3 linked regions of the Rattus norvegicus genome follow. The protein of the gene in region 1 purifies or fractionates together with the protein of each later gene. This does not show direct contact. Links are inferred from orthologs where the notes say so. Each region holds a gene or a part of one and is shown in the gene's direction. Other genes may lie near its edges.

Region 1 (3,500 bases):
GAATATGGATACCTTTCTAAAGAGAAAACATCTTCATATGCATTATTTCAGCTTTGAGACTCAAAATAGATTTTTAAACTTTTTAGGTATTCTTCAGAACAAACAAACTTAAAACTATTTCACTTGAAAACTTAAAAAAAGTATGCAGATACTTGAAGAAAACAACATATTTTTCTAAATCAAGAGTGTTAAAAATGAAGATCCAGATGGTCAGTTCAGACACATTGTGTAATCCTATCATTTTCTCCTAGTTAAAAGGCTGGCCACAGAGAACCTGCAGTGCATGGTAAAAACCTGCCAAGTGGGGTCAGAAGGAGGACCTGCCACCCAGCTGACTTCTCTGTTTAGGTAACTAGAAAGCATGCCAACTGGCAAGGAGAGGGTTGCCAGCCATTTGACGGCCAACATGCTTTTTAAATAACTAATTATCCCAAACATAATGTGTTACTACTTGTTTACAGTGTTTCAATTACAGTATTTGGGGCAGTGGTTTTGTTACATTGTGTTGCTTTTTTGAAAAGTAAAAGTGCCAAGGAGAAAGGTAAGCTGACTGACTTGAAATTACTTGTGTCTTCAGTGAGAAAGAATCTAGAATGTGGTTAAGAAGAAAAACACAAGCAAGTGTAAGCTCCAACAACAGGTGCACAGGCCTTCGGAGCTTGCTTACCTGCTCCTGGGGATGCTGTGTAAAAATGCCTGTCCCCGGTCCTCCGACTTGCTTTATACACACTGAAGTTTCCTAGAGTTCCTTAGCTTTGATTGGAGTCTTCTCTTAGGGCAGAGTCTTTGTGCCATTTCTCCCTGAGGGGTCTGCCTGCTAGCTTTTGTGCATCCTGTCACATGTCCCCGTCCAGGCACGACATGACACTTGATTTGAGGTGTGTTTCTTTTATTCTGCGTTGCATATTTGGTTCCTGGTCTCTTCCTCTTGTCTCATAATTGGTGCTTGTCTGCTCTTTCCAGTTAATTTCAGTTATGATCACTTGATATGATACTAAACATTCACGAACATTCCAACACCATAGGAGAAAAGGAAAGGTCAAATCTTTGTTCTATTGATTGTGGAATGTGGAAATTTTAGACATAATTTTTTTTTATTTATAAAGACTTTCTGCCTATAAGGTTTTTTGTTCACTTAAAACATGTAAAAAGATATGAATAAATTTTTCATGACTATATTGACTAATACAGACATGTGATAGGCTAAAAAAATAACTAGGAAGCGTGACTTTGTTTACTGCCTTTCACGCTCCTTGTATCCCAGGTTTGTAGGGGAGAATATCATGAAAAGTCCTTAGAGTTACTTTTTTTTTTTTTTTTTGAGCCACCTGATTCACCTTCCAATCATTTTTGTTGTTGTTCTCTAAGTGTCCACAAGCTGGGCATGGTGACACAAACTAGTAATCCCAACGTTCTCGGTGACGGAGGCAAGTGGATAAAGTGTTGAAGGTGAAGCCATACTATGGGAGACCACCCTCCTTCTAGTAGTTAAGCAAACATATAAGGCCTTACCATGCACAGTCTCTCAGTCCTTATGAAGTAATGGTCCTGCGTGGTGAGAAGAGATTATAACGTAAATCACTGGCCCAAACTGACTCTGAGGTTGTCTGTTTTGTTGTCAGGCAGTTCATCCAGGACTACGGTATGCAATACAGTTATCAAGTATACAGCATCCTGGAGACAGTAGCAGCACTGAGTCAGCACATTGGCATCCAGTTGATTCCTACCCTCACTCAGTCTCTGAAGGATTCCGAGCTGAAATGGGGCCTCGGCAAAAATATTGCACAGAGGTATGTTTGATTAGACTACTTTGTGTACCATATAATGCATTATAATACATGCTTTATCTTTCTTTTAAAATGCTTTGTTGCCCATTTAGGAAAATGGGATGTTTTCTTTTGATGTGAAGAATGCTTCAGTGCTATGACTGTTGTCACTTTTGTAATGCTTGCATGGGTAGACAGTCATGTGACTTAGCGGGCCATGCATCATCACCATGTTCCTGCTGAAATGGCCACCTCAAAGCTGCACACCTCCTGGTGCTTATCTTTTCAACATGCAGTGTCCTTAGGGACAGCTGGATTTCGAAGCCTCAGGTGACTTGTCATATAAAATCCATATTGACAGATCAACTACCCAGCTATGTCCAGTGTGACAATGAGTAAGGCAGGTGACAGTATGGATTTGACTACATATACGTGATTAGGGTGTTCTGTTCTGTTTCATTTTATAAGCTTATAACCCATCCAAAAATAATGCTGGCTATTTAGACAAAGGCGTCATTGTCATTCTAAGAATAAACCTATGGTTTTAGAGGAGTCAGCACTGGAACTGTTAGTATGTCCTAAGCCATGTTACAGAATGGAATACTTTATTCTAGTTGCCTAGTTGACCAAAAGCAACTTCTGGATGAAAATGTTCATTCTGCTTACTCTTCCCAGTAAGTAATTCATCACTGAAAGAAGTCAGGGCAGGAACCCCAGAGGCAGGAGCTGATGCAGAGGCCATGGAAGGGTGCTGCTAACTAACTGGCTTGCTCTTCATGGCTTGCTTAGTTTGTTTTCTTGTAGAACCCAGTACTAGCAGCCCAGGACTGAACTCACCCACAGTGGGCTGTGCCCTCCCAAATCAGTCACTACTTTAAAAAATTCCTTACAAGTTTACCTGCTGCTGGATCTTATGAAGGCATTTTCTCAGCCAGATGACATATATTCCATTTTACTATGGAACTCTGTGTCAGTTTACCCAGAGACATCCTAAATGCTTATGACATTAGCTGACTAGAAGAGTCCATCCCCAGAGACATCCTAAATGCTTATGACATTAGCTAACTAGAAGAGTCCATCCCATCTTTGCAGCACAGTCAATAGAAACTGTTAAAAGGAAACTTACAAAGTTCACATAGCGTCCCAGTGGCATATGTCTTTTATAGAGAATTTGACTGGCCTCTGTTTTCTACAGAGAAAAGATTAGATCGATTCAAATCAGAGCCTTAAAGAAACAGTGCCTTTTCATACCATAAAACATGCCCTGGCAAAAACTGCTAGCATCTAGGGTCTGAGAAGTTCTCATGGAAAGGCTGGATTTCCCTGTGAACCCTGCCCACTGGACTACTACAACAGCGTTTGCTAATGTGCTACTTGTAGCAGTAAATATTTTATGGAGTCTGCTCTGTGCTCCCAGCAGGAGTGTGCGGCTCTGTACCCACCCAAGAGCTCTGGATTCATGAATGAAAGATATACTCACACCCTCTAGATTTTAATATGGCTTAGCTAACTCAATGACTGGGCACCCACAAACCTCCCATGGCTAGCACACACTCTCTCCAGAATTGCTGACTTAACACTTTCTAAATCTATGTTTTATCTTTGCTCCCGTTTCCTTCTGGGCAGCCCTCCCACGGGGCGGCTTTCCCTTTGCACACACAGCTACTCTTTGTGGCCAGGCATGTTCACAAAGAGACTCATTTTAAAGATTTAGAATCTCACAGGTATTTAGAC
Region 2 (3,500 bases), on another chromosome or scaffold:
ATTCTGAAGTGAAATCTTTAGTTTCTCTCTGTTCAAAATACTGCATTCCAGTGTGAGGAAATGGCTCAGGAAGGACCTGAGTTTGAATGTTCAACACTCAGGTACAAGCAGGGGATTGCAAAAGGTATAGATGAATGGATCCCAAGGGTGCACTGGCTACCAATCTCACCAACCAAATAAGCTCCGGATTCAGTGAGAGACACACATGGGTGCACTCTTGTAATTCCAATACTTGGAAGGCTTGCAGGTATGTTAAAGTCCTGGACTAGCCTACATTACAAAGGAAGACTGTATTAGTTGTTCCTGTGTTTTTACATATGTGTATGTATGTGCTAGTGCTTGCAGAGGTCAGAGAACAGCCTGCTGGAATTGGCTCTCCTTCCACCATATGTATTTTGGAGATTGAGCTAGGTCTTTATATTTTGTGCCTTAACCCTCAGAGCCATTTCTCAAACCCAACTCTGTCATTTTTTTTAAAGTTATGTCTCACAAGCTGAGATTAAAGATATATCCAGTGCAATTCTGTCTTTTAAAGGAAGAAACTATGAGAAAAACTTAAAATTTAAAATTATTGCACCTTATTTCACCATCTATTTCTATAGATTTGATCAGCTCTGACTGTAGCCAGTCCGTATTTTATGTGGTCTTTTGTGAATTCTCTGGTCTGTTTCAGGCCCATGTCAAGACGGGGCTCACCATCTGCTGGCTTCTAGTGTACACTACAGTGTTTTAAAAGGTTTTGCCAAAGGTATTGACCTAGACTAAGCAATGTTGGGTGCCTTGGGGACACAGGGAATATTCTGTGTCAAACTCTTTTTTGCCTGGCATTCCCTCCAACACATTGATTAAGTGTACAAATATGTGACACCATGGGGCTTGGGGGAAGGGCCCTGAGGAAAGTAAAGCTTGACAGAGTCATCTCAGCAAGTGAGATCAAGCAAGAGTCACATACTTCTCTGTCCTTCCAGAATCACTGATTCTAGAGTGTCAGTTTTTATACAACTAGATCCATGGGTCTGGGAGCACGGCTCAGATGTACAGCACTTTTTTGGCATGCGCCCTAAGTTCCATCACCAGCACTCCTCAGAAATAAACAGCTGGGGACAGCTAGAAAGAGTGCTCTACAGTTAGACCACTGATTACTCTCCCAAAGAACCCAGGTTTAGTTCCCAGCACCCACATAGTTGTTAACTACTTCTATCTTAATGGGGCAACGCATCTTTTTTTTTTTTTTTTTTTGTAAGATTTATTTATTTCATGTATGTGAATACACTGTAGCTGTCCTCAGACACACCAGAAGAGGGCATCGGATCCCATTACAGATGGTTGTGAGCCACCATGTGGATGCTGGGAATTGAACTCAGGACCTCTGGAAAAGCAGTCAGTGCTCTTAACCACTGAGCCGTCTCCAATGCACTTTTCATCCAGGGAATTTGAAATTTCAATTTGGGTTATAAGTAAGTTCTTACCCCTCGTTGGTTTGCCAAATGTTGTGGTAAATATTATTTTGGGGATTTCTATCTGACTTAGATCATAGTTTTCAAATAAAAGACAAAATCCTTTACATTTATAATAAGCTTTAAGGGCTGGAGAGATGGCTTAGTGGTTAAGGGCACCGACTGCTCTTCCCGAGGTCCTGAGTTCAAATCCCAGCGACCACATGGTGGCTCACAACCATCTGTAATGAGATCTGATGCCCTCTTCTGGTGTGTCTGAAGACAGCTACAGTGTACTCATATATATAATAAATAAATAAAATATTATAATAAGCTTTAAACTGTTAGAGCTAGGCAGATATCAACCTTTTATGTTTTGTCTACTTCGCTGTTAATAACTGAGAACTTGCCATGTTCTGCCTGGGTCACTCCTACTCCAATAGGCAGGCAGCCCTCATGGTCATGCACTCGTGATCCACCTACCTCATGATAACTTATTTCTTCTCTCACTGTGGTGCCTGCCTGATACCCCAGTCCCAGGACCTGAAGCCCCGCCTACTTCTCTTCTGCTCTACATACTCTAGGCATCTTTACTAACCAATCAGGGATATCTTGGGGAACAAGGTTTACACAACAAAGGCTGGTTGGTATAAGTGAAGGCTTGTCGTGGAGCAGCCAGATCTTGGATACAGGAGTTAGCATTTGAATACAATTAGCACTAGACCAACCCACTACAGTACCTCTAGTTCCAGAGACCCAACACCATCTTCTGGCCGCTGAGCCCAGGCACCAAAGGGTGCAAAGACAGACATGCAGGCAAACACCCCATGCACATAAAATAAAAGGGGATGCACATAAGAAAATAAAGCTTAAAAAATGAAATACCTAATAATTTCCCCAAAATGCTGAGGCTGGAGTTTGAACCTGGTGAACCGTGGGCATGGGGTCACCAGAAAGATCTGGGTGAACGTGTGAAGGAACAAGGGAATAGATGTATAAAGGAGAGCTTTATGATCCAGGTGACAAACTCCACATATGATCTGTGTGCTTCCAGTGTGTTGGATGCCTGCACCACACTGGACCAAGAGCAGGCAGCTTCCAAGAGTTCTCTGAAAATCTCAGCTTGTGCAACTTTTCCCAGCTGCTGGAGCTAGGGGTTGTGTAATTTCAAAGAGCCTAAAATAAGTTCTGGGTCTGATGCCAAGCTTCTCTGTACTAGCATGACCTTGCTCCTGGTAATACTTGGCCCCCCTACAAGAGGCTATGAGTACCAGGGCTCTCCTAAGATCAGTGGGAAGGGTCTCCAGGTACTTTTTCTTTCATCTCTTGTGGGTATACTCCAGGACCAAGCCCCCTTAGTGATGGAGTACAGAGTCAGGTTTGGAGGGATGCCTTATCACACACCATTTGCTGGCAGAGCCTCTGTCCCACAATGTGCACAAGTAGGCATGAGTCGGTGCCAGATGTGGACAAGTTTGGGACAAGTTGGTTCCCCCCGCAGCTTTGCCTTTCTCCTCCTGCCACCTGGCTGTCCTGCTGGATTGGAATCTGCCACCCTGCCCCAGTTATCGAGGGATCTGCTCTACTAGGGTGGCACCAACCCTTCTGTGAAAGAGGATGGCACTTCCTACCCAGAGACCAGGGCAGCCTAACTCCCTGCTGTTCCCTCACAAGCCTTGTCACAGGACTCTTGGATCAGTCTCTGCTCTATGCTTCCTCTCAGCTACTGAGAGGCCTAAGTTTCCCTGGAGGGCCAGAGTCAAGGTCACTTGGCAGAATTAGGAAAAAAATGTCTCCATTAAAGTGGATCTTCATTTTGCTCTAATTCAGGACTGTGGTGCCAGGGCCTATTGCCCAGCAGTTATAGGACCTTCTAGTATATTCAGATTCACCTGATGCTGACAAAAAGACCTTGCTCTCAGCAGTGTCAGTCCTCAACTCCCTTATCCCCCATGTTCTTGCAGACCTTGAGTGGAAGATCATTTATGTGGGCTCAGCTGAGAGCGAGGAGTTTGATCAGATCCTAGACTCAGTGCTGGTGGGCCCTGTTCCTGCAGGAAGGCA
Region 3 (3,500 bases), on another chromosome or scaffold:
CAGCAGGATACAGTACAGTATAGTACTGGAGGGCGGAAGTGGAGTAGAACCTGCCTTAGAGAAAAGCCCACTGAAACATTTGTTTTTCACTGATGTATTCAACAAATAACCAGAGCAGTGGTGGCTGCTCTGAAAAGGAATGGCAGGAAGCTGGGGTGGCAATTGTGGTGGAAGCTGTCCTTGGGACTTACTCCCTTGGCTCTTTCTGGGCAGATATCTAGATTCCTTTTCCTTCTTCCTCTGTATCTTCCTCTTCTGAGTCTAAGCCTCATTCTGGCAGGTTTGATAGCAATGCCTCTGCCAGCTCCTCCAGTAATGAGGGCGACAGCGACCGAGAAGAGAAGAAGCGGAAACAGCTCAAAAGAGCCAAGATGGCCAAGGATCGGAAGAGCCGCAAGAAGTCTTCAGAGGTATTAGGAGCGAGAATGTGTGTGCTTCCGTTTTCTACTTTCTTTCTCCTGTTCACTACCAGTAGATACTGTTGACGGTGTTGCTTTTGTAGGCTGGTTATGACTTTAGTAGGTATTTTCTAAGTTTTTCCTTTTGGTTCTGAGATACTTTGTTGAGGATCTGGGGTGGGTTTTTTTTTGGTTGTTGTTTTGTTTTTTATTTTTGTGTTTTATTTGTGTTGTATTTTATTTTTTTGTTCATTTGACTAATTTTAATATTTTTGGACAATTTTATACATATATTTAGTGTACTATGATTTCCCTCCTTCCTGCTCTCTCAGCTCTATAATTAGTATCTCTTTTACTTCTTTCTTTCCTGGTGGGTTTAGTAAGGATTGCTTGTGTAATGGGTAAACATGGAAAGAGGGTTAGTTGCTGGAGCATAAGTAATTTACCAGTGGCTACAGCACTGAAGAAAGTGATTCGTGTTCTCCTTGCAATTGTTATCTACACGTAGCTCATTTAGAGGGAGCGAGTCCTCACGGATGCCTTTGCCACGTCTGGTAGAGTATCAGTGGGCCAATGCCCTTAGTGCTTACAGTCACAGCAACCATGCTGTGTCTGGGGACACTGCTTTATAGCACTGCTCTCCTTTCTCTGGCTCTTGCCATCTGCCTGCTCCCTTTTTTAGCCAAGTTTCCTTGGCCTTAGTGACACACATGCTCTGTTTAGGACCAAGTCCTCAGTTGTCACTTAGTCTCAGCACATGACCATATGTGAGTCTCTTACTCTGAATTAGGAGATGTCCTGCCTCTGCCCTAGGGGATCTCTCTGAGGAGAGAACAGTCACCACCTTGTAGCTTAGGCTGTTTCTCCGTGGCCCAAATCTACTTAGTTCTTCCTGCATCTCCTCCTTTCCCAAGCACCTGCCTTGGGGAAGCTTGGCATAGTTGTAGGATGTGCATGGCTGGTAGCATCTGGTTTCTTACATAGGGGAAGAAGGGTAAGGATCCAAATGCCCCCAAGAGGCCTATGTCTGCGTACATGTTGTGGCTTAATGCAAGCCGAGAGAAGATCAAGTCAGATCACCCTGGCATCAGCATCACAGATCTTTCCAAGAAGGCAGGCGAAATCTGGAAGGGAATGTCCAAAGAGAAGAAAGAGGTGCGTGGCAGTGGGAAGGAGGGGAGTGAGAAGGGCTCGTGGGTGCAGGGTGTGCCACTCCTGAGCAACTGTGGATGCACATTTGCTTACATCAGTCTGAGGAGTGCTTGTGCTTGTGGCAGGAGTGGGACCGCAAGGCCGAGGATGCTAGGAGGGAGTATGAGAAAGCCATGAAAGAGTATGAAGGAGGACGAGGGGACTCGTCTAAAAGGTGAGTGTTGGGAGCATAACGGCTAATGACTGCTTAGGACAGATTGTGTTTGCAGGTCAGAATAGAGAATTCCTGTGCATGTTTTTGACAGCAGTTAAGTAGTGCTTCTTATGCCAAGTATGGGTGATGAATTCAGGTTGAGGGATAAATATGGCCCATTTTCCTAGATGAGTTTTACTTGAAGTAATAGGATATAGTTCAGAAGAAAGTTTTCTTGTGAAGCCTAATACAAAGTTCACACGAGCTTTTAAATAAAACAAAAGTGTTCAGTAAGTTCTGCATGTAAGTTGGTTTGGCTCTGACCCTGGTTCTTCTGGGGTACTTGTGTATGATCCTGTCCTTTGGTGCACTTTAGGCTGACAGTGACATTACATTTGCCATGGTGAGAATAGTGTGGCCAGTACTGGGAAAAGTCCTCATTAAAGCTATGAGAAATATAATACAGAAAGCCTAATGACCAGGCTTCTTTTCCATGTTCCTAATCTAGGGACAAGTCTAAGAAGAAAAAGAAAGTAAAAGCAAAGTTGGAAAAGAAATCCACTCCTTCCCGGGGCTCATCATCCAAGTCTTCATCCAGGCAGTTGAGCGACAGCTTCAAGAGCAAAGAGTTTGTGTCCAGTGACGAGAGCTCTTCAGGCGAGAACAAGAGCAAAAAGAAGAGGAGGCGGAGCGAGGTTGGGCAAGGATATGGGGGCTTAGAGCTATGTGTGCCTGGGGGTGGGTAAGGCCCAGTTGTGGTTGGTGTGTGAGAGTAATGAGTTAGAGAAGACCGGTGGACTTCTGAGGTTTTGGTGAGTCCAGGAGTTGTAGGAAGAACTAGGCGTTAGGAACCCTTTACCATTAAGTGGCTGGGAAGGTAGCTGGCACTCGACACATTTATCCTAAGAGAACTTTGGTTTTCAGGACTCTGATGAAGAGGAACTAGCCAGTACTCCTCCAAGCTCAGAGGACTCTGCCTCAGGATCTGATGAGTAGAGGAAGAGAATTCCTGCCCTTGCCCTGTCACACCTCCAGGCTCACACCTCCAGGCTCCCTACTCATTTGGTACCAGTGTCTATGGATTCTGTGCCATCTGAGTAACTGCTCTTGGTGGCTTCCACTTCCCTGAGGCTTTGAGGGAAGCACCTAACCTCTGCTTTGCAAGGAAAGCTCCATGCAATCTGGAAAGAGACTGGGTACTGGCAGCGCATCGAAGGATCCAAGTCCTCATCCTACTTTGCTACTTTCCTGACTGTAGGGGCAAAACTGCTTCCTGTCCTGTTCAAGTTGCTGCAGCAGGGGTCATGCGAAGTCAGGCCTGTAGCTCCTAATAGGGGCCTATTTCTACTTTTATTTTGTATTTCTGGTCTGTGAAAACAATTTAATAAAGGGAACTGACTTTGGAAACGATGTCCTTTGTCTCCTTTCCCACTTTGCATGCTGTGGTGTTTACCTTCCCTGACTGGGCAGAGCCCTCCTGCCCAGCTGGGAAGCAAAGTCTCCAGGTACATCATGTCCTCCCCAGCTGACAAGCATTGGTTTTCATCCTTGTTTTTGAAACTGTGCCACTTGAGAGTCAAGAAATGAGTGCTGATCTGATTAGGAAGCCTCTCAGAGTTCCTTCCACTCCACTCCATTAGCCAACAGAGGGGGCAGGGGCAGCGGCGGCTCTTAATCACCGTATGAGTCAAGGGTCTTACAAGGCTTGAGATAATAGAATGAGGATCGACTTTCTACTGTAGAGTGGAAACCTGAGT

Evidence for each region. The genes of interacting proteins can lie anywhere in the genome.
Region 2: the proteins of Mms22l (region 1) and Asf1b purify together in Homo sapiens (co-immunoprecipitation; 4 studies listed by BioGRID and IntAct, counting the BioPlex papers as one, with this or other methods). This does not show direct contact. The link is inferred for Rattus norvegicus from reciprocal best matches to the Homo sapiens genes MMS22L and ASF1B.
Region 3: the proteins of Mms22l (region 1) and Ssrp1 purify together in Homo sapiens (affinity purification with mass spectrometry; 3 studies listed by BioGRID and IntAct, counting the BioPlex papers as one, with this or other methods). This does not show direct contact. The link is inferred for Rattus norvegicus from reciprocal best matches to the Homo sapiens genes MMS22L and SSRP1.

Annotation. Positions count from the first base shown.
Region 1 is NC_086023.1:43,105,914-43,109,413, forward strand, and holds part of Mms22l (protein MMS22-like), read left to right. Parts: intron 1-251; coding exon 252-348; intron 349-1,622; coding exon 1,623-1,790; intron 1,791-3,500. UniProt on the Homo sapiens protein: Component of the MMS22L-TONSL complex, a complex that promotes homologous recombination-mediated repair of double-strand breaks (DSBs) at stalled or collapsed replication forks.
Region 2 is NC_086037.1:41,090,353-41,093,852, reverse strand, and holds part of Asf1b (histone chaperone ASF1B), read left to right. Parts: intron 1-3,400; coding exon 3,401-3,500. UniProt on the Homo sapiens protein: Histone chaperone that facilitates histone deposition and histone exchange and removal during nucleosome assembly and disassembly. Cooperates with chromatin assembly factor 1 (CAF-1) to promote replication-dependent chromatin assembly.
Region 3 is NC_086021.1:90,537,983-90,541,482, forward strand, and holds the end of Ssrp1 (FACT complex subunit SSRP1), read left to right. Parts: intron 1-280; coding exon 281-410; intron 411-1,382; coding exon 1,383-1,553; intron 1,554-1,675; coding exon 1,676-1,764; intron 1,765-2,251; coding exon 2,252-2,438; intron 2,439-2,667; coding exon 2,668-2,739; 3' UTR 2,740-3,150; downstream 3,151-3,500. UniProt on the Homo sapiens protein: Component of the FACT complex, a general chromatin factor that acts to reorganize nucleosomes. The FACT complex is involved in multiple processes that require DNA as a template such as mRNA elongation, DNA replication and DNA repair.